Linked DNA regions of Alligator mississippiensis. The protein of the gene in region 2 interacts with the protein of the main gene of each other region in a pairwise test. Links are inferred from orthologs where the notes say so. Each region holds a gene or a part of one and is shown on either strand. Other genes may lie near its edges.

Region 1 (15,692 bases), on a different chromosome or scaffold from region 2:
TGGGATGGAGCAGACTGCACTGCAGGGCCTGATTCCACAGTTTCTCTGACATGTGCTGGAAAGGTTGTATTTAACACAGTTGGAAAAGGGGTGGGGATTTCAGTACTGGTGATCTGAATGCTGGTCACATTATCTTCACACTCTCAAAGTCCCTGGGTGGAATCAGAGCTGGGTAAAACTCCCAAAGCTGGTGAAGGTTCAACCTGACGTGCACTAAATTTCCACTGTTCAAGTGGATCATGCGTCTTGGCATCTGAGAAATGGTCTATAATTTGGATCCTATAGGTTAGGGGAAAAGCCCCAAATCTAACACAAGTACATATGTATCTGAGAACCTCAGTGCTATGCACAAGGGGAATATTACTTCCAGTTTAGAGATGGGAAAGCTGAGGCATGGTAGGGATACTGACCATAGACTAGTATCCAGGCAAAATCCAATATCCAATATTGGAGACTGATTTATTTATTGGCCTTAACTGAGGCACAGTGTGAGCATGCGCAGTTTCACAGTAGTAAGTGAAGTGACCTCTGGGGAATCAAGCTGGGGGAAACACCTTATATCCTGGGCCATAATTTACCTGCTTCTGTCCTGTGACAGAACCCACTGGAAACCGAATATGAGACTTCAATTGTAGAACTATATCTCGCAATTGAATTCTCATATTCAGTTTCCAGTGTGTTCTGCAAACTGGTTTCTTTCCCTTTAAAATCTGAGTCACAGGAAACCTACAAGAAAAAAAAGAAAAGAGTGAAATCTCCCCACAGGGGATGTGAAAGGAAACTCTAGCCTGCAACATGCTGTGCTGTGTGAACTTCACTTAAATGAGGCAGTTACATTCAAAGGCAGGACCTGGGCAGAAGCCAGGTCTGTGCGGGTAATGCTGTCTGCTTAGGCTTCTGGACAAATGGAAAATGTGATCTTGCTCTCTTCTGTCCAAGATGCTTTTAAAGTAGAAAATTGTCGGGACCTGGTTTGTTTGGTGAGTTAGGGGAAGCTGCAGTGTATCAGATTGTATCTTTGCCATCCTTTCACAGCTACACCAATCCCAGTACTTCCTTCCAATTTAAAGTCACCTGGTGAAATGCAAAGATGTTCCTGAGCTTGTAGATTTTGGAATCTGATCTCTGAAAGCAATGCAAGCAATTCCTTAGAAGGAATCTTGTGTGTGTTTCATTGAGATATAGAACATCTCGTGATGTCCTGCTCAGTTTCATTTTGAATTTTCCGGTCTAAGTCTCATGCACACCATTTCTGATTTGCTTTTGAAAGAGGGACAAATGTGTGTGTGGGGGGGGGGGGGGGGGGCGGGGTGTGGAAAGAGAAAGATCAGTGCAGTGGGGGCCTGGGGATAAATGCCAGTGAACATACCTTGGAACCTAAAGCCTGGGGCCTTTGGATTAACATACTTCTGAATATTTACTGTTTTGCTATGAAGGAGTCTTTCTAGTAGAAGCTGATCCAGGATCTCTGGTATGACATGCCTGATAGAGATAGTATAGGCACCTGAGTCCCAATGCAAAGGAGACCCATTGTACTGGCTGCCTAAATCCCAGGGAATTCAATTGAAAGGTCCTTCTGGTTGAAGGTGGAAAGGCAGGAAGGGTTGTTACATGGGCAGATATAGGATTTTGAAAAGAGGGGTTGCTGATAGTATAGAGCAGGGGTGGGCAAAATGCAGCTCGCTGGCTGGATGCAGCCCACCAGGCCATTCTATCTGGCCCATGGGGGCCCCTAAAAATTTTAGAAAATTAATATTTATCTGCCCTGGGCTGCCTGTCATGAAGCCCTTGATGGCTTGCCAAAACTCAGTAAGCGGCTCTCCGCCCAAAATAATTGCCTGCCCCTAGTATAGAGTACCTCAATACACATTGTTCTCCAGTTGAAAAGAAACTAGAAGCTATAATAAACTAGGTGCCAATCAGTTTAAGATTGAAGCAAAAACAAATACAACTTCATTGGAATGTGCATTACTTTGCTATATTATATACATTTAAAAAAACCACAACAAACTAGGCAAAACAAAGTCAAAAGATGTTGTTTCATTAGTTCTGTAGCTGCATCCCTTTAGTTCTCTGGAGACGATGGCAGTTCTTCATGCTGGTCATTGGTTGTCTCGGCTGTTCATCAAGTTGCAAACATTCCATGCTGCAAAAATCATTGTCTCATGAAGCTATCAAGCAGAGTAATCCCACTGGTTGCAGTTATACAGCCAGGAGCATATAATGCAGCCTAGGTTTAGGGCACCTCTTCTAGCCCCCTCCCCATGTAGGGTGTGTATAGAGGATCCTGAATAAGACTGCTCAGTCATGGCAGCAGCTGCTGAATTGCACTCCTGTCTCAACCCAGCTGCAGGACAACCATCCAGCTACTGCCACCTGCATGCAGATTCAGGGCTGGAGACTGCCAGATTCAATAGTCCTATCTCTGTCACCACTGATCCATCACCGCAGGGCTTTTAAAGGTTGGTATGAGAGAGTGTTGTTTCCTGTGATAAAAACCTGTGCATGACTTTGTTTAATAGGAAGAAGCTAGTGCATGGAAACAACAACCACAAGATCTTAACAAGGTGGAGATCTGGAGCCAGTGGCAAGGGAGAATCCCAGATAACATGAATACCTCCCCCCTTCCTGTAACTTTTTTCTGTCTTTACAGTGGTTGAGATCCTGGCATCTTTTTCCACCTGATCCGCTTGGGAGTAGACCATGGTGGAACCTCCCGTCAAGCTTCTTCACCATGGGTGACCCTGCCAGGAGTGTAAGACTGTGGACAACATAGCTCTGAGGATCACTGTGAAATATAAGCCTCTCCACTACTACAATGTCTTGGTCCACAGAGAGGATTGCTGTCGACGTCTCCTTTTTCAAATTCATAAAACAAAGTCTAGCCTTCTTAAGCATTTTGACAGTGAATCCAATGCTTCTCTTGAAAGTTATTTCTGTAAGTTAATGTTTCCACACTGCATTAATGCTTTTACCTAGCATTAAAAACAGTCTGTGGGGCTGTGAAACAAGAGTTAAGGGCATCTAACACAGCAGACTTGCAGAAGAAAGGATAGCTTAATTAGTGGAACATCAAGATCATTAAAAAGGAGAGGTTCATTAACTCCTGTGGAATGAAGATTTTAGAAGGAATTCAATAATAAAGAACCATGAGATCAAGTGACTCATTCTCTGATACCTGAATAGAAATACTGCTGTCACTGCTAGGCAGTTGGTTTTAAACTTTGGGTGGACCAAAAATCAAAGGAGGCTACAACTGCACCACTGCACCCCCCTGAATCCACCCCTGGTTGTTTAGTATTGGCCAGATCTACAGATAAATGCTTAGTTTAGGGGATCTCAGATAGAACAAACTGTTGTTCATGTGCTGTACATGCTCTTAATCATGGCAGCTGCAAACCTGGAGTAACTTAATTGATTCATAGGAGTTTCTCCAGACTTACATAGTTGTAACTCAGAGCAGGATTTAGCTCAGATGTTGTTAAACTAAGAAGGCATGTTAGCAAAGTGGTATGAACCCAATGGTAGCACCTAATTGACCTAGACTGGGGTAGTTTGTAATTGTCTGCAGCCACCCATGCAAGTGACAGACCTCTGCTTCAGCACATGCTAATTAGCACATGTGGGAGCAGACTCAATGAACTAGTCTGCTGGAGCATGCTAATTAGCCTTTGCATCAGGTGTATTCAGCGTCCCCGCATTTCAAAATGGCGGTGGCGGCATTTAACTAAAGCTTGTTGAACAGCTTTAGTTAAAGAGTCCCCACTGCCATTTTGAAGCACAGGACGCTGAGTACATGTGACGCTGTAAGCGCTTTAATTAGAGCGGCTCTCAGAGTCTCTAATTAAAGTGTCCACCCTAGAGCACGTGTATAGACACCCTACATCTTTAATCAGAAGTGGCTGCCTGATTAGGTTACAGTTCCCAGCATACAATATCGTATCTGGCTGCTTGGCCTGTGAGTAAATGTGGCATCCTTGTATCTATACTCTCCAGGGCCATGAGACAGATCTCCGGGGGCTGCATTCAAGGACCACACAGCTGTTAGGAATATCGGTGCGGCATGAAAAGCAGAGAAATCATGGGGAGAAAAGAGTCTGTTGCTAGTGGTTACATTTTCCAGTGCACTACATATCATTGTTAAACGGCTCACCAGTCAGATCAACAAGCCTTGAAGTGGGTCACTCTGAGCATCTCATAGACATTGAATGGGAGCCCTCTGAAGCTCAGGATGCTGAATACAAGAGATGCCGCAGGCACTTTAATTACAGCAGCTCTAATTAAAGCACCCCCCCCCACCCCAGAGAACATGTAAGTACACCCTGTGCGACTAACAAATACTCACCAGCTTGCAGGATCCCATCTGCTGTTACCAGGGCTGTCCCTTCCCTGGGGGGGCGAATCGGGGCGATCGCCCCAGGCCTCACGCTCTGGGGGGGCTCCATGGTCAGTGCAGTATAGGCCCCGCTGCGGCTGCCACGCATGGCTGCTGCTGAGCACCACCGGCTCTGGCTGCTCGCCACCCGCCCCCACAGCTCCGCCAGCTCCTGTTGCTTGCCACACCTCCCCCTCCCCCTGGACCCCTCACACCCCTAGGGACAGCTCTGACTGTTACCCTCTTCCTGCTCTTATTCAACTCAGTGTATTTGCCATGGATTTCAAATGCAGTCAGTTTAAGGCTTTATTTTGCAACAAACCATACAGTTTGAAGAGTGGCTCTTAACCTATCTTTACTTAAGAAGAAAATATGTAGGGTTGCCTTCTAATGTCTGAGTCAAAGGGACTAATGCGGTTACTCATGCTGCCAACTATCCTAGTTGTACGTTAACTCATACAACCGAGGCCTACAGTTCAGGTGCTGTGCACCAGGGGTTTGTTCCCAGCTCGCCTGTGATTTATTATCTAGTAATTGTGTATTTGGTTTGCAGTACGTGGCTACAGTAGTGTTGTGTGGTGCTTTAATGAGCATTGTTTCCATGCTGGTTGCACAACCTCTCTCTCTGATATTATCTTCCCATTTGAAGATTGCCATTGATGGAAAGTTCCTAGCTCCTTTACATGCCAGTGAAAGCTTGTCTGTGTTTCAGAGTTAACGTTTCCTGGAAATCACCATTATACAGTGACAGTGGAGTTTGGCCTTTGTGGTGAGTTTGTGCTGATTCCAGACCCAACTTCATAATTCAATGCATGCAGCACATTCCTTGCGAGCACCACTGTTAAATAGTTTCATCCTGAGCCTGAGCTTGAAACTATGCTCTACTTACTTTCTGGCCTAGGAAAGGGTGAAAACACTGCAGTCATATTTGAATGTTGAGGGTTTGTAAATTAGAAGAACCACAAAAATATTTGGATTCAAGAATGGAAAAGTTATACCAGTCATAGGGATTATTATTACTTTACAGCATCTGCAAATACACTAAAACCTCAGCTTAGCAAAAAACATGCAAATGTGCTTTAATTGTAAGCACAAGTAGTGAATGAACCAGGCACTGACTTGAGGTATTTGGGCAAGGTAGGGTATAAGTGCTTTGCAGAATCTATTCCTGTAAGAGGCAGGTATTTGTCTTTGATAATTTACAGCCTAAATAATGGCAGACAGAAGAAGATATGAGCTACCCTGAGAGGAGGAGGAGGAGGAGGGAAGCAAGGTTACAGAAAGAAGATAGTTAGGTTACTTAGTTTAGGCCACAAGCTAAAAATATATTTTGATGATCCACAAGCTGCGAGGACTGGATAACCCAAGTGCAGACTCACTCTTTTCTTTGGGAAGCAACCCAGAATGATTTAAAAGCACTCTAGGAGCAGGTGGAGAAGAGTTTCTTATTTCATGCAGAGATTGGCCCAAACCAAAACTGCACCATTTCCTCCCAACCTCTCCTGATGTAGTTGTACTTCTTGGCCAGCTACACCCTTGACCTAGTGAGTTTGGCTGTAGTAACCGCCTATGATCTTAAAAGTCCTCTCAGGGTTTGCCTCATGTCCTAGTCCTAGCCAATCATTAACTGCCCAGTAAAGGATCACACTAGGATGGATTGTTAGTGGGTTATTCATTGGATTTATTTATCTTTGTGTCCTTATCCCTTCCTATTAATCTCTTACCTTCTGACCAGTGATCTAAGCACATTGCCTTCATCATGGCTGGGGCTGCTGTGTGAAGGGGCATGTAGAGCAAAGAGGCATCCATGAAGCTGAGTGTAAGGGGATGTTGCTGGATCATTGTGGGGAAAGGTAGCTCATGGCTTCACAGGTGTCTACTGGCCTTGAGAAGGAAAACACCTAGATTCTCAGTACTAGCAGGCAGTCAGAAGCTGTTCAACTGAAGGCTAGTGGGTAGCTGTGGTACAGAGGGGGGGGGGCATGGTGGCAGCAAGCAGGGAGCTCCCGCAGGTGGAGGTGGCAGAGTCAGCAGCGATGGGGTGTGAGCACCAACCAGTGGTTGGCGACCATCCATAGACACTGCTGGTGGCGGAAGTGTCGGCCAGCAGTGATCGGTGACCGCCTGCAAATGCCACTGACATTGTCAGCTGCAGAGGGTGAGGGGGTGGCAAGTGGCAACCACCCACAGGCACCACCAGCATCATTGGCAATGGCCAATCACAGGGGTGCACCACCAATCTCAGGGGGTGCATGTGCACCTGTGTGCAACCCTTATGCATCGCCAATGACTTGAACCATTATTTTTTTTGTCTGGAGAAGCAGAGGCTCCAATGTCACCAATGCCCTTGGCTACAGGTTGGAATACCAGGTTCTTGGAGTCTGGGACTGACCCAGGAAAATGGGCAACTTCAGCTAGTATGTATAGGGCTATCCTTGTGATGTTCACGTGGGCCAGCTTGCTGTGAAATGTGCAAGAGTCTGCTTTCATAAGACAGAATGAAGATTCGCTACCTCATCCAGACAACACTTTGTGCATGGCGCTGTACAGGAGCCAGCGGGCTGCGCGAGGAGGCGCGTCCGACCGCAGGCGGGGCTGCCACCCACGTGCGGGCCCCCCGGCCCCTCCCCGTGGGCGGGGCGGCCCCTTTATAGTGGCGGCGCTGGGCGCGGCCCCCTCGTCCCGGCGCGGGGCGCGGGCGGCGACCACCATGGACCTGCAGATCCTGGAGCACCGCGTGCGGGTGCTGAGCGTGGCCCGCCGCGGGCTCTGGCTCTACACGCACCCGCTGCTCAAGCTGCTCTTCTTGCCGCAGCGCAGCAGGTACCGGCGGCGCCCGGGCCGCGCGGGGGGAGCGGGTCCGTGGGCGGCGCGGCGCGGCGCGGCGCGGGCTGCCCCGCCGTGGGCTCCGGGTGATTCCGCTGAGGGCCCGGGGTGGAGGCTTCTGCCTTCCTGGGGGTGGGACTGCTGGCGAAGACGCAGCCCCTTGCCTGCCGTCCCGGGGTTGGTGTTTGCTCCGGAGACGGCTGTTTGGGTTTTTTCCTTCCTTCCTTCCTTCCTTCCTTTTTTCCCGACCTTGGAGAAGACTGATGTGAATGAAGTAAGAGTTGTAGGAAGTGCCACAGTGGCTGCTTGGGGTTGGCAGCTGCCTGGCCTAGCGCTGTGCTGGGCAGAGCCGGCAGGGCCACGACCTCCTCCAAGCGCCTTGTGCCTTGGGGGCCCTCTCATGCTGCCCCCTCCGGCCTGTCCAAGCGCTGGTGCGAGGCAGCTGCTGTGTGCCCCGCCTGCTGCTCCCTGCCTTGCATCAGGCTCCTTGGTGATTCAGCAGCTGGAGACTTTTCCTTGTTGCGATTTGCTCGCAAAATGTAAGTCTGTCTGATTGGTGTTTGGGAGTGAAATTGCCCCCAGGCCCAGACTCCTGGCTCTGCTCGTGGGAGCCTGTTTCCCTGTGCTGCTGCTTGTTCTCTCCACTGGGGCTAGAGAAGCTCGCTTCTAAATTCATGGGTCCTTTTTAAAACTGCTCCTCTGACTGTAACAGCCCTTATCCAACTCCTTCCAGCTTCCCAGAGGGTGTCTGCAGGGCATCTTATTTAAAATTGGTTCTTGTCACACTTCAGAGTCTTTGTGTAGACAAAAGAGAAAGAGAGCCTATAAAGCCAAACTGCAGCTAAAGTTGGATTGTATCTTTACACGCCAAACCAACAGCCCTGTAGGGATACTTTCAGCTGCGAAGAAGGGGAGTGAGGTCCTGCCTGCTTAAAAAAAGAAGTCGTGCTCACCCCACCCCACCTTTTTAAATGCTCAAGAAAAGCAGTGTTCCTCATACTCATGGACCACCACAGTGTTTCATAAGTGTCATCTGCTGTATACATGGCTTTAGTTCAGTTTTCAGAAGGAAATTAAGCAAATGGGGAGGGGAACTGCTTTAGGAGGCAGGAAAACTCCTTACCTCTCCACACATAATAGGAATTGATTTTGCCTGTGGCTAATGACCGATTCTATAGTACTGGCTCATGTGCATCACCTGTATTTGCTTTGGTAGGTGCAAGTTCTTTAGCTTGACCGAGACTCCTGAGGACTACACGATCATGCTAGATGAAGAAGGCTTTAAAGGTACAGCATAAGGACTTCTGTACGTCCAGGTTATAGTTCATGGCAACAGTGTATTTTATTTCACTGCCATATAACTACTGTTCTAACCCATTATTTTTCTCCACTGCAGTGAAAACCCTGCATGTGTTTGTATAAGGTAATAGGGTTGCCCCCCCCCCCCCCCCCCCCCCCCCTCGATACTATCATTAGTTGTATGGCTTTTTCTTTTACATCCTTTTGTCACAGAGCATGCAGGGCTGTATGAATAACCTGTAAGTCTTCTGACCTATTTTTTTTGTTGTGGATGCTTATGTAGAGCTGTATTGCATGTTTTGTAGCTGACTGAACATGTTAATGAGGGCTCCTCTGGTATTAGCTTATTGTATATGAGATGCAAATATTTAAAAAGGAAACTATGTGCAAGTATCAACCAGCTGTAGAAGGTGCTTAGTGGTTCTCAACCTAATACTTGTCAGGGGAGGTTTCTGTACATTAGTAAACTCTTCAGAGCATGTGGCAACATCCAGACTTAGAGTTATATGTCCCTGAAGAGGAGCTACTAGCTTACACTGCTGGTAAAGTTAACATCACAACAGAACATTACTGGCTTTCTTCTGGAAGCCAAATGGGTACTATTGGTGTAGTCCTGCCAAGTTTACTTTGTTATAAGTAGACTCTTCATAGGTAATCCAGTAAGTGGTAAAACATGCATGGAAAAGCCGCAGGAGATTTTGCTGTAGCACAGGGGTCAGCAACTTGTTTAGGCAGAGTGCCAGTAGCAGCCCATCCTTGACTTGTAAGATGTTGGCATGCCAGGGGCCAGATGGTGGGGCAGCTGTGAGGGGCCTGATCCTTGTTTTGGAAGTGCAGCTTGGCCCCTTCTCTGCTATCTGCCCTGAGGAATGTGTGTCAAGCAAAATGCCTTTGCATGCCACACTCTGGCATGTGTGCGGGGGTTACAAACCCCTGCTCTAGCAGCTGCTGGTAGTTTTTTTGCTGAGACCTGTTAAAAATGTCAGTCTTGCAGCGTTCCTAATACAGCTGAAGTAGTGTTGGGAAAGGATAAATGCTGAAGCTTCTCTAAAACCGTGGTGGGGCTGGGAGGAAGGGAGTAGCAGCGGAAGGAGAAGGATAAGCAGCCTGTAGGGAAGGTTCTGTGCAGAAGCTCTATGGTGGAGTAGAGAGATGGTAGCCTAGCTACCATAGTAGGGTCTCTTTTATGCTAATATGATGCCTAATTCTGTCCAAAAAGATGTGCTGTCCTTGGCATGTCTTGGGATAATATTCCTGAGCCTGTCCCTCTTCCCCCAACTGCTTCTGCTTACACACATGTAGCCTGGATATGTGGTAGGAATGCTGCTTGAGGGGCACTTCCTCCATGCTGTTTCTTGAGACCAGCATCTGGGATGATGCGGGGACTGCTTCACTACCCTATTTCCAGGTTTGGCATGTGTGGGTAGGAGTGAGCGTGCATGGGAGTTTCCCCCCAAGTCGCAGGAGACCCAGCATAGACATAGGCAGAGTAACTAGTAAATTCTCTACCTCTTACTCTTGTTTAAAATAATATAAATGATAATGTATGAATCTCTAGCTATGGATACCATTAAGTACTGGGCTGTCGCTGTCACAGCAAACCAGGGAGGGCCTGCTGCCATGCAAGAAAAGGAACCTGGCTGGTACTCCATGCCCATGAGATATGGTGTTTTTTAGTACTTGGCACAGGTATGACATTGTCCCAGGACACACTGATAGTATATCTGGGGAGAAATTGGGGGTCCAGGAACCTATTGTTTCTTATACTTATGTCATGTGGGTAGCTAACCTGTTATACTAGCCAAAAAGACTCAGTGAAAACTACCAAAATGGTTTCCCTCTTCTTCCAAACAAAAACTGGGTTGGGTGATTTGTTCCTATGCATAGATTTGTACTACTTGCTGGAGGCTTGTCAGAGGTGAGGGGAAGGGACCCTGTAATTGCAACTATGTGTATTTATGTAACTGCATCCAGCCACATGGGTGATGCTGGGGAAGGTGAAGCTGAAATAAACCTTGGTGGTGTTGTAGCTTTCTCTGGCATGCAACATACACATGTCCAGTGAGTGAGGCCTCTGACCTGTCAGAGGCTGAAGCAGATCTCTTTGCAAACTGGATGCATTTGATTTCCTACACCTGTGCCTTCCTGTTGAAGGACAGCACAGGCTGGCACAGAATGAAATGAATCTTTTTTGGATCTGGCCCAGAAAATGTCACTGACCTGGATGCTCCGCTCAGGTTTGCTGCTTCTTCCCAGCTGCAGCACATGGGTGTGTCGCACTTGGTACTGCAGGTTAGACTGGGTCTGATGGCTTTGCCAGTTGGCAGCAGTTGACAGTGGTTCACATAGCATAAATCTGCTACTTGGTGTTCATACTTGAGCTCCTAACCTGTTACAAACTCCCCTGACCTGCTGAGGCTGGTCTGGGATCTGTCACTTCAGTGCATGGGGTAGTGTGTGGTTCAACAGAATTTTACCTTGAAAGTTAAAGTTGCTATGATACAAAAAGCTTTAAGACTAGGCCTCTGTTGTCAGTCTTAGTGTAACAGCTTCTCAAAAGCTGTTTGTTTTAATGCATTTGTATATAGGAGAAAAACCCATGGTGGGGAGGAAGAATGCAGAGCAGTGAATTTGAGAGGAGTGTTACAGACTCTGTTGGATTACTCTTTCTATTCCAAGCTGTAATTTCCAGCAAAGTAAAAACTCTTTAGTGGGTTGTTATGAAGCCAGCCCATAGAAGTACACGGAAGCAGCCACATGCAGTGATATAGCTGTACAGTTTGAGAATAGCCATGAAATGAGCAAATGAACTAAACTAAATGCTGTGAAGTTTATAGTATGTCAGACAAGGAGCATATTAAATCATAGCCACTCTGTTGTAATTATTGCAGCCTCCTGATGCAGAAGGATTGCTCAGGAGCTTACATGGTGCTGGTTAAGGTAGTAACAAGCTGGTGTCAAGTACTCATGTGCCTGTGCAGTACGAGTACCTTAGTAGTGCCAATGCAAAGCCCTACACCAGCATTGCTGTATGGCAGGATGCATTTCCTTAGTGTAGACAGGATCCTTGAACAGGGGTTAGCCACGTCTGACCCATGGGCTCGATCTGGCCTGTGCAACCTGAGGGCATTGCTTATGTCTGTGCTGGGGCTAGGCAGCAGGGAGCTGTCCTGGGGCTAAGCAGTTAGAAGCTGTACCTTAGGGGTGGGCAAAATGTGGCCTGGGGGCCGGATGCAGCCTGCTAGGCCATTCTATCCAGCCTGCGGGGCCCCTAAAAAAAAATTTAGAAAATAAATATTAATCTGCCCTGGGCTGCCTGTCGTGTGGCCCTCGATGGCTTGCTGAAACTCGGTAAGTTGCCCCCTGCCCAAAATAATTGCCTGTCCCTGCTATATCTGCATCATGGCTGCTTCCCCTTGGCTGCGGTGTAGGTGCAGCTTCCAGCTAGTGGGCAGCTGAGCTGGGGATGGGTAGCTTCCAGTTGCACCCATACTGCAGCCAAGTGGGTAGAGTGCAGGCAGGGTGGCAGGGAGAAGGAGCAGATGTGCTGAAGCAGCTGGAAGCTGGAAGTTGCACAGCTCCTTGCTGGCTAGAGGCTGTGCCCATGCTGCAGCTGAGGAGCATGGAGCAGGGAGAAGCAGAAGTCTGGGTGCAAATCCCAGCTTCCCTGTCCCAGCACAGCTCCCCTCTGTGGCAGGGGCTGGGATAAGCAGTGGTGATGCAGACTTGGCTCACAGCTGTCTGGCCTAGCAGTGCATCGATAAAGATTTTCTTGGCCAATACTGATAGCAGATTGATTATTAACTAGCCATATTGGCCAATGCCAATCCAATATTCGATTTCCAGGAATGTAGCTGGGCAGCTTGGAGAGCACCGCTCTGTTGGTAAGTCTGTGCAGGGGGGAAGGAGCATGGGGGAGAGAAAAGGCTTGGGGAGGGGAGCAGATTGAAGCCCCTAGGGTGAGGGAGGGAGTGGGGCTGGGGAAAGTGCTGCTTAGCCAGGGTGGTGAATGGGACCCCAGGGCCAGGAGTGGGATGGAGCTGTGCGCAGCTTGTCCAGGAGGCATGGGGAGGAGGGGTGGCTCCCTGCTGCCATGCACATCCCCAGCAGAAGCATGGGAGGCATGTGCTCCCCAGATGGGGGGAGAGGGGGGCTGTATGCTTGGGGCTAGGAGCTGCACCAGCCTTTTCCCAGCAGGGATGCTAGGCTGGGCTTGGGGTGGACTTGACCGTGTGGGGTGGGTGATGGCAGTGCTGGGAGGGGAGCTGTGGGGGGCCTGTGGGGAATTTTAGGGCAGCTATAGCCCTCCCTAGTGCCACCCCTGCCCAGGGAATGCCACTCTGTTGCCTTTTCCTTGAGCTCTGTGCTGGTCCTGTATGGTGCTTCTGAGGGAAAGGAAGCAGAATGGAGTGCCCCAAGCAAGGGTGGTGCTGGGGGGCTTGAGCTATAGCCACCCCTCCTATGCTACTGCCACCTGCCCTGAGCCCAGCCCTGATCCAGCTCCCCTGCCAGGAAGAGGCTGGCGCAGCCACTGACCCCAAGCCTGCAGTGGGCAGCCTGCCGTGGAGGTACGTGCCCCCCATGCTTCCCCCGGGGATGCACACAGCAGTGGGGAGCCACCCCCCTCCCACCCGCCTGCACCCTCTGGATGAGCCACCCACAGCTCCATCCCACTCCTGTCCCTGGGGTCCCATTCACCGCCCTGGCTGGGCAGCCCTTGCACCTGCCCCACTCCTTCACTGTGGGGGGCCTTGATCTGCTGCCCCATGCCTCTTCCTGGCCCCCCTCCACCCCATAGACTTACTGGCAGGATGCTGCTCTCTAAGCTGCCCAGCTGCATTCCTGGCCGTGTGTAGTGCATGTGCACAGCCACATGCAATGGCATTTATCGGTGACATGATCAGCTACACAGGCCAAAAAAAGCTGATGGTGCATAGTTTTCCCTTTACTGGTTCTGATCTGATATGCAACCAATCGATCAGTGCACCTCTAGTCTGGCCCCAGCATGGGTGCAGGCAAACCTCCACCCCCTCACTGCTGACACTGCCAAAGCCACTGGCCTGTGCTGGACTATGGGATGTTTTGGCCTGTAGCTTGGAAAGGTAGCTGGTTTCTGTGCTAGAGAGTAAGGCTAAACAGTGTATCCAAGGCAGGTTGGAAGAACAGAATGGCCAAAACTTTGCAACCAACTTTTAGTTTAAGTTGCAGATGTTTGACTCAGAGTGCTAGAGTGAAGACTTTCTACATTTGTGATAAAGGAGTGACTCCCTTAGTTGGTGGTAGTGATAAGTGTGGTCTGGATGTGATTCGCACAGATGGTTTGGATGTATAACTCACACTGGCAGTGTCACTATTAGCTGAGAAAGCTAATAGGAGTCCACAGCCAGTCTCCTTACCTATAAGCAGTAGGTAGGATGTCAGCTACCCTGGTTGTTACCTGGTTCGGGAAAGAGATAACATCAAAGATCACTATACGTTCACATCTTCCTACACAGCTAGTGTTAAATTCAAAGTAACATTACAAATGAGAAATTATGGTAAGTTTTTTAAATACCAGCTCTTACTACTGGCCAAATAAAAATAATATCTATATGTGATTAAAGAGATTAGCAAGGAGGCTATAACCAAAGAGTCAAGAATCTCTCTGTTATGTAAGGTTAATAATGCCTGGCTCGTGCCATTTTATCCTGGTTCATTTACTCTCCTTCTTTTCTCCTCTTGCCCTAAACTTCTAACTCAGAAACCAACCCTCTCCATTGAGATTTGCTAGAACAGCTCCTGCAGAAAAGAGTCCTGTGAGAAAAGGGCCAAACAGGGTTTGAGACCCCTATGTAGATGTGGATTAATTAGGTCTCCTTCAGAGCTAGATGATTGCCTCTGAGGCTTTCTTGTACACAAGTGACTTAAATTACAAGTGTGGCAGTTTGGGAAAGCACTGATAAACCTATGACTTTGATTATGGGACACCACTTATCTGTTGGCCTTGGAGAATGAAGACCATTATCATTCCTGTATTGGCAAGAATCTTTCACCCGTAACAAAGGAAGAAATAAGTCGCCCAATTCCAATGTACAACAGTGTTCAGCACTCAAGTTCTGACATCGCTTTAGCAACCTGTGTCACTGCTGAATCTCAAAGTAACTGTGGGAACATGATTACATTCAAGAACCAGGTTTTCAGTAGCCAAAATTATATTTGATATGTTGTAGACCCTCCAGCAAAGGGAGAAGGTAATAACATAGTAATTAGGGTTGTGTCACTTAGAAGGCAGGATAGAAAGACCCCTGATCCCTGAACAGCACATGCCCCTGGTGGCTGGGGTGGGGGGGCATGGCTGTGCTGGCAGTGTTGGTAAATGTGGAGCTCCTGCAGATGCCTCCAGCGCTGGCTGGGGGGGATGGCAACCTCCTGCAGGTGACAGCGGCCAGCGGTGATTGTGGACCACCTGCAGACGCCGCCGGCAGTGTTGGCAGCAGGGTGGAGAGCAGCAACCACCCGCAGGTGCTGCCAACTGTGTTAGCAGCACCTTTTTGCAAAGGTTGCACCGCCATGCTCAGGGGGTGGATGTGCACCTATGTGTACTCCCTACACGTTGCCCCTTCCCTGATCTCTAGCCAAGTGTGCTTCCTCTCACTCACTGATATATGACATCCCAGCCCTCTGACTCAGCCTGCTAATCATGGTCGTCTCATGGCATCTTCCCTGTGGATTTCCCCCTGCAATCCCTAGTGAAGACCCATCTTGGCATTTGTTCTGATAGAGAAGGCATGCGTGTGTGTGTGTGTAGATGAGAATTGTAGCTGAGGAAACCTACTGAGGATCCTTTTTTTTTCTGATTCTTAGCCAGACAGTTACAGGGCTATTAGCTTCAACAATAGAGTAAGATCTGGGGGCAGATACTGAAGGAAAGGGCAGTTAAACTCAAGCTGCATTGTATCCCACTTACAATCATCTTCCGATTAAAGGTATGGAAGAAAATTGTGTCAGATGAAGTTAATAGTCTTCTATGACAAGACAAAATCAATGCAGTGAACTTGAATCTAGACAAATGAACCAAATTTCTGACACCATGCTTCATAGTGGGGAGAATTAGCCAAACTGCAGAGGACTGGGATTAAATTGGATAAAGATCAAAGGGGTTGTTTGGAGAGTGGTTACAGATAGTGTTCCTCAGAGTTCCACCTTGATTTAA
Region 2 (15,668 bases):
ATCTGGGCATGGCAGCGCTGGGAGCGGGACCTCTGCCCTGCTGCCGCTTGCCCAGCCAGGGCCGGGCTGGGGCAGGATGCGGATGAGGCTCACTCCAGGCAGAAAGGGGTTAGTCTATTAGTTGAACTTATTTGTGTATATTGAGGTAAAAAAAAGAAGACATCAAATTCTTCAGGCTTCTCTGCATCATCCATACCTAGGTTCTCCCCTTTTGCATTTAGTAAAGGACTTATCGTTTCCTTGGTTTTCCTCCTACTTCTGTCATATTCGTGTAACCCCTTTTAATTGCCTTATATCCCTTGCTAATTGCAGCTCAAATCATGCCTTGGCTTTCCTAATTTTTTCCTGCATAGCTGTACAAAACAGTTATACTTGTCTCTAGTAATACGACCACGTTTCCACTGTTTGTAGGATCCCTTTTTGAGTTTGAAACCATTACACTTCTCATGTTTCTGTTGCATTAGGATACTTTGCTCTTGAACTCTGAAAATGGCCTCCTTGAAGTAAAGCCAGCTCTCCTGGATTCCTCCCCCCCGCCCAGGAATCCTGCCCAGCTTTAGGATTCCGAACTCTGTCATTTTGTGGTCATTATCACCCAAGTTATCTTCACACTCTCAAGCAATTCCTTCCTATTTGTGAGCAACAAGCCAGGAAGAACTCCACCCCACCATTGCCCATTCCCTGCAAGTTGGCCTCTCTACTACCTGTGCCAAGAAGTTACCCCAAATACATTAAAAAAATTTGCTAGACTGTTTAATGCAACCATTAGATACTGCAAGCACTCATTTTAGATGTGGCTCTAGCTCTACTATATAGTTGTATATAGCAGACCTTTCCATCTTTGACTACAGACTTTTACCTATTTACTGGATGGACCAATCTATGATTACCTCTTGAAATCTTCAGAATTTGGCTAGCTACTTACTTATCAGTATCAGTCACACAGACCACAGAAAGCCTGTGCTCTGCCTTTCAGAACACTTACAGGTACATTCGGACCTATATTGGACACAATATTCTAGTGTTCTAATAGAGCAGTTGAGATATGATGGAACATACAAATTGCTAATAGCTAGGTTTATCCCCTTGACTTCCAGTATGTGCTTCCACTTAAAATTTCACAAGCTGCCTATTGAAGGGTAAACTGTGAGCCCCATTTGCTTATGTTTTTACTAACAGGGAAGGCTCAGCAGGTTACTCAGAGATTTAGAAGGTGTCACTGAACTTTTATAGATTGAAATGTTATTGTAGTTTTCTTCTTTGTTTTTAAAAGTAGTGTGTAATAACTTATGTATGATACACTTTATAAGCTAAAAATATCAAAAGTTAAAAGATACTAATTATATGTAGTAATAAGGGTATGACAGTCCTTTCAAATGCCTTTTAGATCCCTTGTTCATTGTTGCACGAATAAAGTCCTTTTTCATAGAAAATAAGGGTTGGAAGGGACCTCAGGAGGTCATCTAGTTCAGTCCCCTGCTCAAAGCAGGACCATCCCCAACTAGATCATTCCAGCCAAAGCTTTGCCTAGCTGGGTCTTAAAAACTTCCAAGGATGGAGATTCTACCACGTCTCTGGGTAACCTGTTCCAGTGTTTTACTGCCTTCCTAGTTAGAAAATTATTCCTAATATCCAACCTAAACTTCCCTTGATAGAAAAAAGAGCAATGGTCTCGAGTTGCAGCATATGCCACCACTAAGAACAGTCTAGCTCCAACAGTCTAGTACCTTAGCCTTTCTAGTGATGAAAAAAATATTAACACTATTAAACCTTACCCCATTCAAAATTGTTAAAACTCTCTGGTATGGCATCCCATTCACTTTTAGAAATCATCCAGTCATACAGTCAAAATTATTCAACTTCAGCAAAAAGTATCATGTACAATTCCAATTTTCACCATTTTTAGCATATTTTCCAGAACAGAATACATTCTTCCCTAACTTCCTAGTTTTCCATTTAATTCAGCGAAATAGAAAGCTCAGTCCTTATACCCCCCTCATATTCTTTTGTTTTGAAAAGACATTGCGGCTGGCTAACGTCAACTCAGACAATAGCCAGTGGATGAACACCACTGCCATTATATTTTCACTGTTCCATGTTGTCTGCATTGCTATAATATCCCTAATAATTTTAAACAGAGAGGAGATAAGCAAACAAAAGTGAAGGTGCAATAACAAATATACCACACTAAGAAATATTTCTTGAGACGGCTTATTAAAAATATATAAAGGGCTAAGGCAGGTAGGTAAGGGGAGGAATACAAATAATGATCATGATAATGATAATTAATACTAATGATAATTAATAAAATGGGCTGTCAATTTTATAAATTTTCCATGTGAATGTTACATGCTATCCAAGTCTGTATTTCAAACATGATAAAAATGCAAATAAATGGTAGAGGGCACATACATAAGGTACTCTGCACGCTGTAACTAACAACACTCAATACCTTTGTTTGAGAAATGCAAAGTCGCAAAGACTTACTTTTGGCAATCCACTCCAGTCTGGATGAACTATTCACTAGACTGCCTCACATTAGATATCCAAGAGCACAAGAAGCCAGTCGATTTTAACCACAGTTACAAATAAAGCTCTCTCTCAATTCTCATCCTTTTATATACTTCTAGTGAGGGGCAGGTCCTTCAATCTTAGCAAATAATAAGTAGAGTCAGGACATACCAGAACACACACTACACACCAAAAACTTTTTGACTGTTTAAGAAGACTGTATAATTTAAGAAGAAAGAATTGTGGAAGTTTCTCTACCATCCTATTTTAAATGCTATTAATAAAGACACTATAAGTTTTATTCCATTCACAAGAGATAACAGAAAGTAACTCATACCCCACCTTCATCAAGTTCACACTTGATCTGCATTGACTTTACATTCACAAAGTTAGTTTGTCTTAATATTGCTAAGGTCACTGGGAAGGTTTTATGTTTGAATACAGGTCTTTGGAAGATGGGGAATCCATATTGTTTTTGCAGTGCCAAAAAAGTACAGGAAAAGCAACCCTCCATTTTAGAAATGACAATATAAACTGTCAGAAGGAATCCCTATGAAGCAGACCAATCATTACTCACTTTCTAAAACACTGGTTAATTAGAGACTGAATATATCCACAAAGCATGTGTCTGCATTATACCAGCAAGTCTGCCAGTCTCATTCCCACTTCCCAGCATTCAGCATGAAGCTTAATCTCATGCGGTGGGATGTCTGGAAGCATGACAGTAATCAAATTCAACAATGTTAAGAATTGAAGAGATAACAGTGACCTCAAGTTAGAAGCAGGAGTCCTGAAACAGGCTCCTACTCTCAGAAAAGCCAGGCACTCAGATAAGAATTATAACAACTTTGCACCTTTCATGAATTGAAACATATAATCCATTAGTCAGTTTGTGATGCATGAAAAACAATATGCAAAATATATATTTTAGGGATCTCTATACTTAGAGATCATCATAGCTTGTTAATATAAACTTTGTTTTAAATAACTTAATTTCATTGTGAATTAGAAGCAACTATGCCACCCCGACATGTATCAACAGCATGGTTTGATGCGCTCAACCTCAAGATGCTTAGATTAGGCCCATATAAATTTCAAAAAAGTAATTATTAGACAAATGTGGCCAGTCACTGGAGGACTGCAATGATCTGAGGAAATTACATATGAACTATGGATTCCATTTGAGATTCTGTCCATTGTGTCATACTGCAAGCTCTACTTCAAGATTCTTGGTCTTTATCAATCTTCTCTCTTTTTATCTCTGTCATGGACTAAGATTCTTGAGGAGTATTGGCACAATGCTGATAATGGAAGGTCACTCAAACACTATACTGTTGAAATGTAATCAATCTAGTGCCTACCCAAGAGAATTGGTTTATCAGCGGAGAGTTCAACTATCAATGAAGACAAGTGGTAGCTAAACATCTAAAATTTAATTTAAAATTATGAAAAACCTATGTTAAGGCTGATGCCTGTCATAATCTATTAAAACAATAAATTAAATTTAATTAAAAAACCTTAAGCAGTACATGTTTGTTGCTGAAGCAGTAAAGAAAGTCAAACCACTGAATTAGAAGGCCTTGGCTGAAACCACATTTCTTGAACTGCAATGCTGTTTTTCAACATGAATAGCCTCTTCTGCAAGCGTGGAAGGAATAATTTCTTCCTTTCGACTTATTCAACTATTTCAGTTCCAATGCAAGCTCTTTCTAAATAGAGTAAACAAACTGAAGTTGTCAATAACAACTCTGGCCTTCCAAGCAACCAGAGAGAGAGGATTTTTTTTTTTTTTTTTTTTTTTAAGAAGGAGGAAAATATAACTATAAAACCATAGAACAGAAGTCACATGAGTCACCATGACACAAGCCCAGTGTAATACTTTAACATGTTTTGAAATCCTGTTATAAACCACAGTGCAGGTAAGTTGTTGGGTGTCCCATTTCAGGCAGGAATGCTTGAAATGCAATTATGTTCATTTTCATAAAACATTTTATGATGACTATTATAAGATCTTTCTGTCCCTAGCTAATCTATCAAATTATTCCTATTTATGGCCCTGAAAAACCATGGAACTAATTTTTAAAGGCTCTCAGCAACAAAAACTTCAACTAAAGTTATGGAAACTACAGATATATCAGTCAGCACATCTGAAAAAATCAGGCCCTGCACTGTCTTCAAAAATTTATTTCTTAAAGAGCTAAATGGTAAGTTAATAAAAACATTTTTTTTTCCTCAGGAAAACATCTTATTAGCATGCAGATTCCACAATGCCTTTAGAAAGCTAAGCAAGCAGTTTTAGATTTAGCTGTAAAAACCTATAATGACAGTTTTGTCACTTTAAATAACATGTGCAAGACCTGGTCTTCCTGCAGCCAACTTAGTAGGTTCAAGATCTGGCTTTCAGAATCAGTGTAGGAAGTGACAAAACTAAAGGTTGAGGGAGGTGTGGGGGGGAAAAAAAAAGAATGAAAGAAAAAGAAAATCGAAGCAAGTTTCGGCAAAGTAATGAAGCCATGTCAGAGAAGGTTTGCTTCAATCTCATTACAAATCTAGACAGCTCTAACATACTTGCTGTGGGATGGAATTACAATACAAAACTTGTAATTAAGCTCTTTGAATACTACTAACAGCTCCAAGATCTAATCAGTAGGATCACATAAACATACACTATTCAGTAGGGCATCTACATGTGCATTTTACTATGGAGTTGACTAATTACCTCTGCAGTAAAGCATCACCGTCTACACGAGCAACACTAGTATTAGGCCAGACTAAAGTAGTTAACTCCCCAGTAAGACAGCACTGCCTGACAAGTACTATCTTACTAAAGCAAAGATGTCTACAAGTGTGCTGCAGTAGAGTAAATAGTGACTGGGGCTGGCTGGGGCACAAGGGTGCTGCACTGTGGGGGCTGCCTGCCAGCTATCTCCACCCTCGTGCCCCAGTCAGCCCCTCTACAGCACGCTTGAGCCAGGGCAGAGCAGGCTCACCCCCCAGCTCCCCCGCCAGGCAGGGCTGCACCACCCTGGCTTAATGTGCTGCGGCCCAGGCACATGTGTAAACACTGTGGTTAGGAGCAATAAACTCTGGTGCGAAATGCACCAGTTTATTCAAGTGCACTAGTTTCATGTGTAGATGCACCCAATATTGCCCAAATAACTTCCTGCATCCCTCACTATAAAATTCCCCACTTATTAATTAGAAGCTGGTTCAAAATAGATTTTGTATCTTATGATTCTAAGCTCTCTGGAGGGGGAAAAAAAGAAGATCAAGTTTCAAAGATGGGTGGCATCCCACACTAAAAGCATTCTGTTCTCAATACATGTATTTAAATCGAAGAGGGCACCTCCAACAACAGTATCAAGTTCAGGAATGACTCATCAAGTAGCAGTCTGTCTTCTGAAATACTTCAACATACACTTTGTCATCCTTACTTTGGACCCTACCTTTCCACACAAATATTGATTAGACATGATTTGTGAGACAACTTGTGAGATCTAACACTTTCACAGCCAGAAGAGGTGCAGATTCAACAAAAGTAAACAAAAGCAGTTTACATATATACCCAGCCGTTCTTACAGCAACAAGAATGGATGAAGTGTTGCTAGATAATACTTTGAAACAGAAAAAAACTACTTCTCATTGAAATTAAATGACTGAAATATTGAAATACAATGATAAGTCAAGAAGCTACTGAATACATACTTTTCATAACTCGCAGAACATTTATGTGGGAGAAAAGTTAGATGGAAAAACAATCTGTACAAAAAAACAAATGACTAATTTAAATAAATAAACAAATAAATAAAAAGGACAGAAAACAACATCTCTGCTACCATTTGCTATGTTCAAGTCAATCAGAAATGCTCTTAAAGAAAACAGAAGTTTCATGCCATAAAAACAATTTTATTTTTCAAAAAGATGGCACCACCATTGAGAATATGGTCTATAGCAAGGGTACACAATCTTTTTCCCTGTCTATCCACAGGCCAGATCGTGCTGGTAGCCCAGATCTGGCTTCCGGAGAAGGGCAAACCAGGGCCTGGGGGCAGCCCAGTTATGATCCAGTCACCTGAAGGAAGGGGACTTAACCTGGCTGCAACCTGGTGTGATGAGGCATGACCCAGTCCTGATCCAGCCTTACAGGAGGAGGGAACAGCCAGGCTTCCAGGCTTCCTGGGGGAAGGGGATGTGGCCTGGCCCCCAAGCCAGCCATGGGGGTTGGCCATGGAGCTTAGGAATTTGGCAGCAGGAGAGGGAGATGGCATTAACTGTCACTGTTCCCCTGACACCAAATTTCCCAACCCGTGGGGAGCCCTGTTGACCAGATGCCATGGTGCCAGGGGCCACCTGATCTATAGAAATTTCATATTAGAATAGTCATAATCCATCCATCTAGTCCCAAAAGCTGTCTAAAATACACAGAATGCAAACGGTTCTTGACATGTTTCTGAACCAGCCAGTCGGTGCTGAGAGAAGGAGCAGGCCATATTCTGCCATCATACCTTTTTGGGAGGGCTGCCACACTTGCGAGTGCCACTCGGATCCCCCTGCCCTGTGCAATCTGCAGCACTTTTGACCCCCAGCCCTGTGCTTCCCCCTCCACTTTCAGCTCCTGGCCCTGCCTCCGCCTGCTCCGCTGCTGCCCTCTTCTTCCTTGTGCCCCCCTGCCCTATCTGCAGCCATGCTGCCTGCATGCTCCCCCCACTATGATCTCCTGGGTGCTATCCACGCTCCCACACGGAGGCAGGGCCAGTCAGGCACCCCTCCGCTGAGCAAACCCTCGTGGGAGAGGCCACACCCACCCTTGAAGGCCAGATCCATCCTCCCCCGAGTGCACCCCAGAAACACTTGGTGGGGCCAAAAACTTATTGCATCAGACCCCCCCACCCGGCTTGCCCCCCCTGCCAGGCCCCGGGGGAAGAGCTGCCGGCTGTCAACCCCGCGAAAGAAAAGGGCGCCAGGAGCCCGCGGGGGCTGCTCGAGGCCTGCTCACAGCGCCGGACACCCCGGAGCCCCCTCCCCTCTCCGTCGCGGCCGGGCCAGGCCGGGAGTCGCCCCCGCCCCGCCCCGCCCCGCCGTTCCTGGGGTCCCCGGGGCACCAGGCGCGCGGAGCGGCTCGGGCCAGCAGCGGCCCTTTGTCTGCGGCACGGCGCGGGCCGGGCCGACCCAGGAGCAGCCCCCTCCGCCGGGCCCAGCTCGGAGCCCCGGCGCCCCACAGGCCCGGCCCGCACGGAGGAGATGCGCGGCCGCCGCCCCTCACCTTCCAGCCCCTCCATGGCGCAGCGCGGCCGCTCCCTCAGCCCGCTGGGCCGCTGCTGCTCCGGCAACCCGGCCCCGCCCAGCCCCCGCTGCCATTGGCCCGGCGCCGCCCCGCCCCCGCCTGTGAGCCCGGAGGCCCGTCTGGCCCCGCCCCCCGCCGAGCCCCGCCCCCCCGGCCGCAGCATCTGTGGTCGCTGTCCCGCGCCCCCTCTTGTCCCCGCCCTCTGGGGCTCGGCTCCGCGCCGCGCTGCCTCCCATCTGCTACTGCAGTCTCCCGTCTCTGGAGGCGCCGCCGCCCGTTGGCCTCCATTCCTGCCTCCTGTCCCGAATTAGAAAGCCTCCTGCAGGGATGGCAGAACTGCTGGAAGACGAAAGAGGACAGTAACCTCCCGGGAAATACTCTGAGCCCTGGCGTGTACTCGCTCTCCCTCTCCCTCCTACCAGAGAACACAGTAGGCACGTGCACGTGCACGTACACAATTACCAGAGAATACGCACCCCCCCCCCCCCCGGAAAAGTGGTGTTTGTACCGGAAAGCTTTCCAACTACAATTTTTCCAACTATTGAGTTGGTCTAATAAATAATAATAATAATTAAAAATAATAAATAATAATACTTTCTAATCCTCAAAGGGAATTTACAAAAGACCTTTCACAGACAAGCCAATGAACTTGACATCACAGTCCCGGATACAAAAAGTAATGGACTAAATACAGACGTTGGATTTATGACACATTATAACACCCCTAACATCTGACTCCTCAGGTACCTCTCCACTTTTACCAGCTATAGTCATTCCCCTCCCCCACCGCAACCTGTCTCTCACCCACTGACTCCTCAATTTACACCTTCCCTGGTTGCCAGTCTTGCATGGGGCAGACTTACCTGCTTGAGCCCCAGTGCATCCTGGACTTGAGAATTCTCAATGCCGATTGGTGGCACCCATCCACCAATCAGGGAAGAGCAGGGAGGAGCTGGCACCACCCCTTTCCCAAGGAGCTCCAGAGGCAGTTTAGACCTGGAAGCTGCAGGTCCATTGGACTTCAGGGTGGAGCCTGCTGACGGTATGAAGAAGCAGCATGAGCCACGCAGGGGGGCGTGGTGAGAGACCTTGGAGAGGGAAGAGCCTTGACCAGGATCCCTTCTTCACCGCAGCAGTGCATAGGCTGGCACATGGGGCTCAGGTTCTGGGAGCCGCATCGAGGCAGCTCGAGCCTGCATCCCCAGCCGAGGGCTGGACAGAGCGGTGTGCTGACCAGCACACGGAGAGCCGGCCATAGGAGCAGCTCAAGGCTGCTCGGGCCCACACGGTGTGCAGTCTGGCACATGGAGAACCTGCCCTGGGAGCAGCGTGAGGCTGCTCAGGTTAGCCCCAGCATAAGCCGGATAACCGGAGTCTCGCAGTGTGGCCCTGCCAAAGAACTAAAAGAGCCCTGGAGCCTAGAGCAGGACCCAGGAAAAGGGAGGCCCAGGCATAAGGCTAGATAAACCCAGCCAGCGACGGCTAGATTCCCTTCCACGAGAGCTGGAAGAACCCTCGGTGCCCAAAGTGGGACACAGGGCCAGGAGGGGAGGTCTCGGCATGAAGCAGACAGCACTGGTGAGGCCTCTGATTGAGCGGAGGGCCCCAAGGCCCGGTCAATGGCTCCTCGAAGAAAATTGTAAGTTGCTGGTGGACTCAGGTCCTGCAGGGGAGACATTCCTGAAATAAGGCACACTCCCAGAGGGACGCCCTGGATGAAAATATTCCTCCCAACTAGACCCATAGGAGAGGAAGCACCCCTTGCTAGCTGGGATCCAGGGGTAACATGCCTTTATATCGTGTAAAACTGTGCCTCATATTTTGTATGATTGTTATTGTAATTATGGATATGTTGTACAACATGTTATGGGATTGGATTAGTTTTGTATAATGGGTTCCTGGCTTATATTGTAAATATTTATCTGTATTCCTTTGGTATTGTGAAATGATATCATTAAGAATACTTTTGGGAAGTTTTCCTTTGATACCTATTAGGATACTTACCTATACATATTGGATAAGAATAATATTTATATTATAATTCAATAAACTGTAAATAGTTAAGAGCATTGGTGTGGAGTTGACTGTATAGAAAAAAGAGGGACCTGAGCTCAAATCACCGGTGTCCTTCTTACACCACTGTCGCCTGCCTCATCTATCCCTTCCAATTGAGGACGGGCACACCCTTGGGTGTTCTTGGATTACACATGCAGACCAGCCTCTGGTTTCTTTGCTATTCATTCCATCCAGGAAGAGCACACACCAAATGCAGATGCTTTCTCAGCATGACAAAGGGTATTTGTACCCAAAAGCTTGCAAAGAAGAATTTTTCCAACTATTTGAGTTGGTCTAATAAAAAATATCAGCTTTACCCAAAGAACCTTATCTGCCAGTTTCATCAGAGGCATTTATTTTTCTATCCGCCCACCCCCTTTAATGTATTTGCTTGCAATAGAATCATAGAAAAATAGGGGCAGAAGGGACCTCAGGAGGTCATCTAGTCCAACTCCTCTATCCAACTATATTATTCCAGCCAAGGCTTTGTCTAGGCAGGTCTTAAAAACCTCCAAGGATGGAGAGTCCACAACCTCTCTGGGTAACCTGTTCCAGTACTTTACTATCCTCCTGGTGAAAACATTTTTCCTAATATCTAACTTAAACTTCCTTTGCTGCAACTTGAGACCATTGCTCCTTGTTTTATCATGTCACCAGAGTCTTAGCTCCATCCTCTTTGGAACCACCCTTCAGGTAGTTGAAGGCTACTATTAAATCCCCTTTAGTCTTCTCTTCTCCAGATTAAGTCCAGTTCCTGCACCTTCTCCTCAGTCATGTGCCCGAGCCCCCTAACCATTCTCATTGCCCTCCTCTGAACTCTCTCCAATCTGTTCACATCCTTGAAAAACTCAATATTGCAACTGAGTTTACCAACATCTGAAAACTGTTTGCATGCCAGTTGGTATTAAGTTCAAGGAGTGCTGTGTTGTTGTGCCTTTTTAGATTGGACGGTGGGAGGGGAGTTGTTCTTAATTTGGTCTTTGACTCTATTACGTATATAAAATGTCTTTTAGTAAAATCTTTCCTAGTGTAAAGGAAACCATGTGCATTGAATAATTCTACCATGGGTAGATCACACTCTGCCAGATGTGAAGTAACCATTAGATCTCCTAGTGCTTCTAATATGGTTGTGCTCATTGGTAGCAACTCGTTTTAAAAGACAAGCCCCAGGAAATGTGTAGACACAATATAATAAAAAGCTAGCTAGCTAGCAGGGGCAGATCCAAAGCAGGTGCTGTGGCACAGTCACATTGCACTTTTGGACTATGCTGTGGGGGCAGCATTCATGGACTTATAGTAAGTCCCTGAAGCAGGGAAGAATTTCCCCCTCCCTTCCCCTCCATACTCATCAGCACATCCCTTTCCTTCCTCCCCATTTTCCCCCACTCACTGCTGCCCTTGTCCCTAGGTGACTCGGGGCAGCGGGGAGTTCCCGAGCCACTCCTGCCGTGTTCCCGCTGGGTTCTCCAGGGAGCTGGGCTCAGCCAGGGACAGCAGCAACCACAGCAGTGGGTAGATTCCCCCCCCCCCTCCCCCCACAGTCTGGAAGCAGACACAGGGACAGGGAACCTGCCTACTGCTGCTGCTATTGTCCCCCGCTGAGCCTGGCTGCACACTGCGGTGGAGAGGCAATAGGAGAGGTGGGAATGTGAAGCTGAGCATGGAGAGAAAGGGAGGGAATGCCCTGCACAGGGGGCAAGGGGAGGGGGGCAGATTTCTTACCCTATTTGGAGACTCAAAGAGGTCCCCAGCTGCTGTTCCCATGGCATGGTCCACCTGCCCTCGAGGAGGGCAGAGGAGAAGCTAGGAGCAGGGCTGGAGCCACCCCTTCAATGTCATTTGCTGCTCCCGCACAACCCCTTTACAAAACCCTGGCTCTGCCCATGCTAGCATGTATTTGTATGTGTGTACAGGCATGCATACCACCACTCCAATGAGTAAAATCAAAATTGTAAATGTGTGGCATAAGCTTTGAACACCTACTAGCCTATCCAGATTTTTCTTTCAATTCAGAGAGTTGCACCTCCATATTACAAACTACAGGCTGAGAATTCTGTGCCCCTCTGCCCCTCACATTTCTAAACAGCCATTGTGAACTGTGTTAAAAACATGAAATTCCTACAGTTTTGCTACACTATTTTTTGAACCCATCGCAAGCTTACACTTCTTCTTCCCCCCTTACGACCACTTCCAGCAGTATTTCTGTATGAATAGCTTTGTCCTATGACCAGTAATTCCTAATCGGGGTGTTACAGCACCCTGAGGTGCCTTAAGATCCTTTCAAGGGTACCATGTAATGTGGTACTGGTATATTCATTATACCTATACCTGTATATTCACTATACATATACCACTATACCAGTAACCACCATATATACCACTAACTGGTATATTCACTATACCAATCATTCCTAATCAGAGTGCCACAAGCACCCTGAGATGCCCTGAGATCCTTTCAAGGGTACCACATAATGTTAGCATAGTTAGGTGCCCAAACATGATTCATGCAATAAACTCAAGAGATTTCAAATAGGAATCCATAGTGTTAAAAATGTTCCAACCTGCCATGGTTTTTCTGAGTTCTTTGCAACAGAAAAATTGCTCTATTATTTTTCTGCAGTCAAAATATGAGTGAAAATTTTGAGTTGGCATTTTCTGAGGCATGCCTTAAGTCTAAGAGTGCCTTGGAACCACTGCAGTATACTATGAGCTTGTAAGTTAAACAATCAGCTATCATACAATCAACTATCAAAGCAATAGTAATATCACAAACACTGATTTGTGGCATTGATAATGAATGACTGGCTGTTTTTAGAAGAAAAAACAAAAGTTTCTTTTATACCAATCTGTATCCCCATTTCAGGGACTATGCACAATGTACGAGCAGCATTTATTATAGTCATTACTTTCCATATATACTCATAGTGGTGCAGACATCCATGTTTAATGCATACTTAATTAGTAAGGAAAACATGTAGAATAAGTCTAGGATCATATGCAATCAACGACAATTTCATGATATTTAAAATGATTGAGAAATAAAATACTGTAGTTTCTTGAGCACATACATGTGCAGCTTGAGACTTTGAATTATCCAAGTCCAAACAAAAAACAATATGAAAAAAAATTAAAAGCATGGGAAAAACTCTCCATTTTTTAAACATTAAATTTAAATTTTCTTCAAACTTTAGAAAAGCATATTAACATTCCGGGTAAGGGCAAAAATAAGTTAAAGTCTAAAGGGTTTCCTGTTTTTTTCTTTTTTTGTGAAAATTTTAAAAAATTGAAACTAGTAGTTAGGATTCAAAGATATTCTCAGCCCAGCGAAACCAACAAAAATAAACCAGCAGTGGAAGCACCATCAATGGAAGCCTTAATGGTGTAGGCTGAGGAATGCTCCCAATACTCTTAATCACTGATGATTCTTCATTAGAGATACATGCATCTCTCTGATTTTATGAACACTTTGTAGAATAAAATATGGACCCAATCCCAAAGAGTTTATTTAATAAACAGTGCAACGAGCAGCTATTGATAGACCAGAGGCACCAGGCCAATGGAATAAAATCCAGGAAGGAGAAGTAAGGTTACCTGAGGTTGTGAGGACTTTACAACTTTTCCCTACTATATATAAGCTGAGATAGGATTTAATCTCATATCTTTTTTCTTTAGCACAAATGTTCAAGATTTCGATTTCCCAACCTGAATATTAAAAGGGGACTGATTTTCAGAAACTGGTGATTTTACACTATCAATAAACTCAGCTCCTAAGTTTCCTCAAATTGGAAGTCCCAGGCAGAGGCTCACAAAATCACTGTCACAAACTGTAGGCCTTAGTTCTCAGTACTGGATGACATAAGGATCAGCAACTCACAGCCTGCAAATTTAATTCAGCTTGCCAAGTAATTTCATTCAGCTCACAACGCATGAATGTTGGCAGCATTTTGGCAGCAGAGTGATTTTGTGGTAGGTTGCACATGCAATGGTGGGGATAAGCAGAGATAACTGGTTTGGAAGCACTGGCCCCCTTCCTACCAAATTGTATTATTTTAGCCTGCCACTCTAGAAAGTTTGCCAACTCCTGGTGTAGTGCCAGAATAGTTTCAAAATCTTGCTGGAGTTCCAGAGATAGAGTTTGAGCTTTGCTCTGGGCTGGTGTTGAAGACTTCACCTAGCCATTGCAGTAGTATTAAATAAGTACCTAGTTGCAGGGGTGACACATAGGGGGTGCACACGGGTGAATGTGCACCCCCTGAGCATGGCAGTGCACCCCCTGCAAAAAGGCACTGCTGATCTGTGGGCGGTCACCACTCGCCACCCCACCGCCAACACCACTGGCAGCGTCTGTGGGCAGTCCACGATCGCCCCTGGCCATTGTTGATGCTGCCTGAGGGTGGTCGCTGACCCCTGGTTGGCACTCACCACCCACCTCCCCCCCTCTGCTGACAGTGCCAATGGCATCTGCGAGAGCTCTGCGCCTACTGCTGCCACACTCCCACAGCCGCCAGCGCAGCCGTGCACCCTCAGCCGCCAGGGGCATGCACCGTTCATGCCTAGTTGTAGGCCACTAACCACATTACTTGTGTGCTGTTGGCTGCATCAGCTGGTGAGCTTTAAACATGCTAGCCTAATTCTTTAGCTTTGTAGATCTTGGTGGGTGTTTCTATTTTTTTAGCACAGTGCTTAACTGTTGCTTATTTTACCATAAATTTTCACAGAAAGTTTATAGATTAAATTTGAAGAGCCAATTAATATTTAAAATTGTCTCCTACACTTTCTGATTCTTTGTAATGAAGATTAAAATCTTTATTGAAAATCAGCATCTTTCATGTTAATAATGAACATTACATAGGGATGGATTTCCCAAAGTAGCATACTAATGAATATATTTTACAAAAAACCTAGGCCCCTGGAGTTTCGGATGTGCCTGCTCTAAGGGACAGGTGATTAAAAAAGAATCATAATAAACTTACAATTAAAGTTCATTGTGGATGAGATAGAAGAATTACTACTTCCCTACTAAAATAATATCTCAATTCAATTGCTTTAATGATCTATACTTGCAAATTATGAACTGGGAAAGAGCCTATTGTTCTATTTCTTCTTGTTATAATCCTGATTTGTATTCAAGGCTGGAGAGTTGCGATTATCCTGCCAATCAATTTATCAACTCAGTTTTTCTTTAATACATTTGTACACTGTTAATTGAGTTATTGTGGGGGACTCAAATTATGCTGAATGAGACATTCCATCCCATAAGCAGCAGTGTAATCATGGTGAACCATGTTGTCATAAACACTGTTTAGTGCATGTGCACATGCATGGGCACAGCTGTACTATGCTTTGCACATTGAGGCTAGAAAAGTGAAGACATAAATTAAAAGGGTTCCAAAAAGGCTCAAAGCTGGTAGGAGGCAGGGCGGGTGGGAAGGCATTTAGGGCTCTAGAATCTATTTTCTGACAATCTTAGTAGCTAGTGCGGTAATAGAACGGTACCAAACATTGTGCCTTATCTGAATTTAAATCATTTTATAAAGCAGAGGTTGTAAAACTCCAGATAAGAGACAGACAAAAACAGAAACAATGCTTTTTTCTACCTAGCACTGTAAAATATGCCTGTCTAGCTTCGGCACATCTTTGTACGAGTCAATTTATATTTTCAAAAAATCATGTTCTCATTAGGTTTTTCTTTCTTTATTTATTCAGAGACAGGTGGAGCTAATGTAGGTGGTGCTAGTGCTGCTTTTAACTTAAAATTTTCTACACTTCCTTGCTAATGGACTTTTAAGTTTTAACTTGTAAAATTTCTTCTAATGCC

Evidence for each region.
Region 1: the proteins of ZC2HC1A (region 2) and CASTOR1 interact in binary tests that used the Homo sapiens proteins (3 or more experiments, as listed by UniProt). The two-hybrid records come from large-scale screens. The link is inferred for Alligator mississippiensis from reciprocal best matches to the Homo sapiens genes ZC2HC1A and CASTOR1.

The regions. Positions count from the first base shown.
Region 1 is NC_081833.1:27,633,697-27,649,388, reverse strand, and holds the start of CASTOR1 (cytosolic arginine sensor for mTORC1 subunit 1), read left to right. Parts: upstream 1-7,045; 5' UTR 7,046-7,085; coding exon 7,086-7,198; intron 7,199-8,417; coding exon 8,418-8,488; intron 8,489-15,692. UniProt on the Homo sapiens protein: Functions as an intracellular arginine sensor within the amino acid-sensing branch of the TORC1 signaling pathway. As a homodimer or a heterodimer with CASTOR2, binds and inhibits the GATOR subcomplex GATOR2 and thereby mTORC1.
Region 2 is NC_081826.1:55,109,397-55,125,064, forward strand, and holds the start of ZC2HC1A (zinc finger C2HC domain-containing protein 1A), read right to left. Parts: upstream 7,856-15,668; 5' UTR 7,791-7,855; coding exon 7,775-7,790; intron 1-7,774.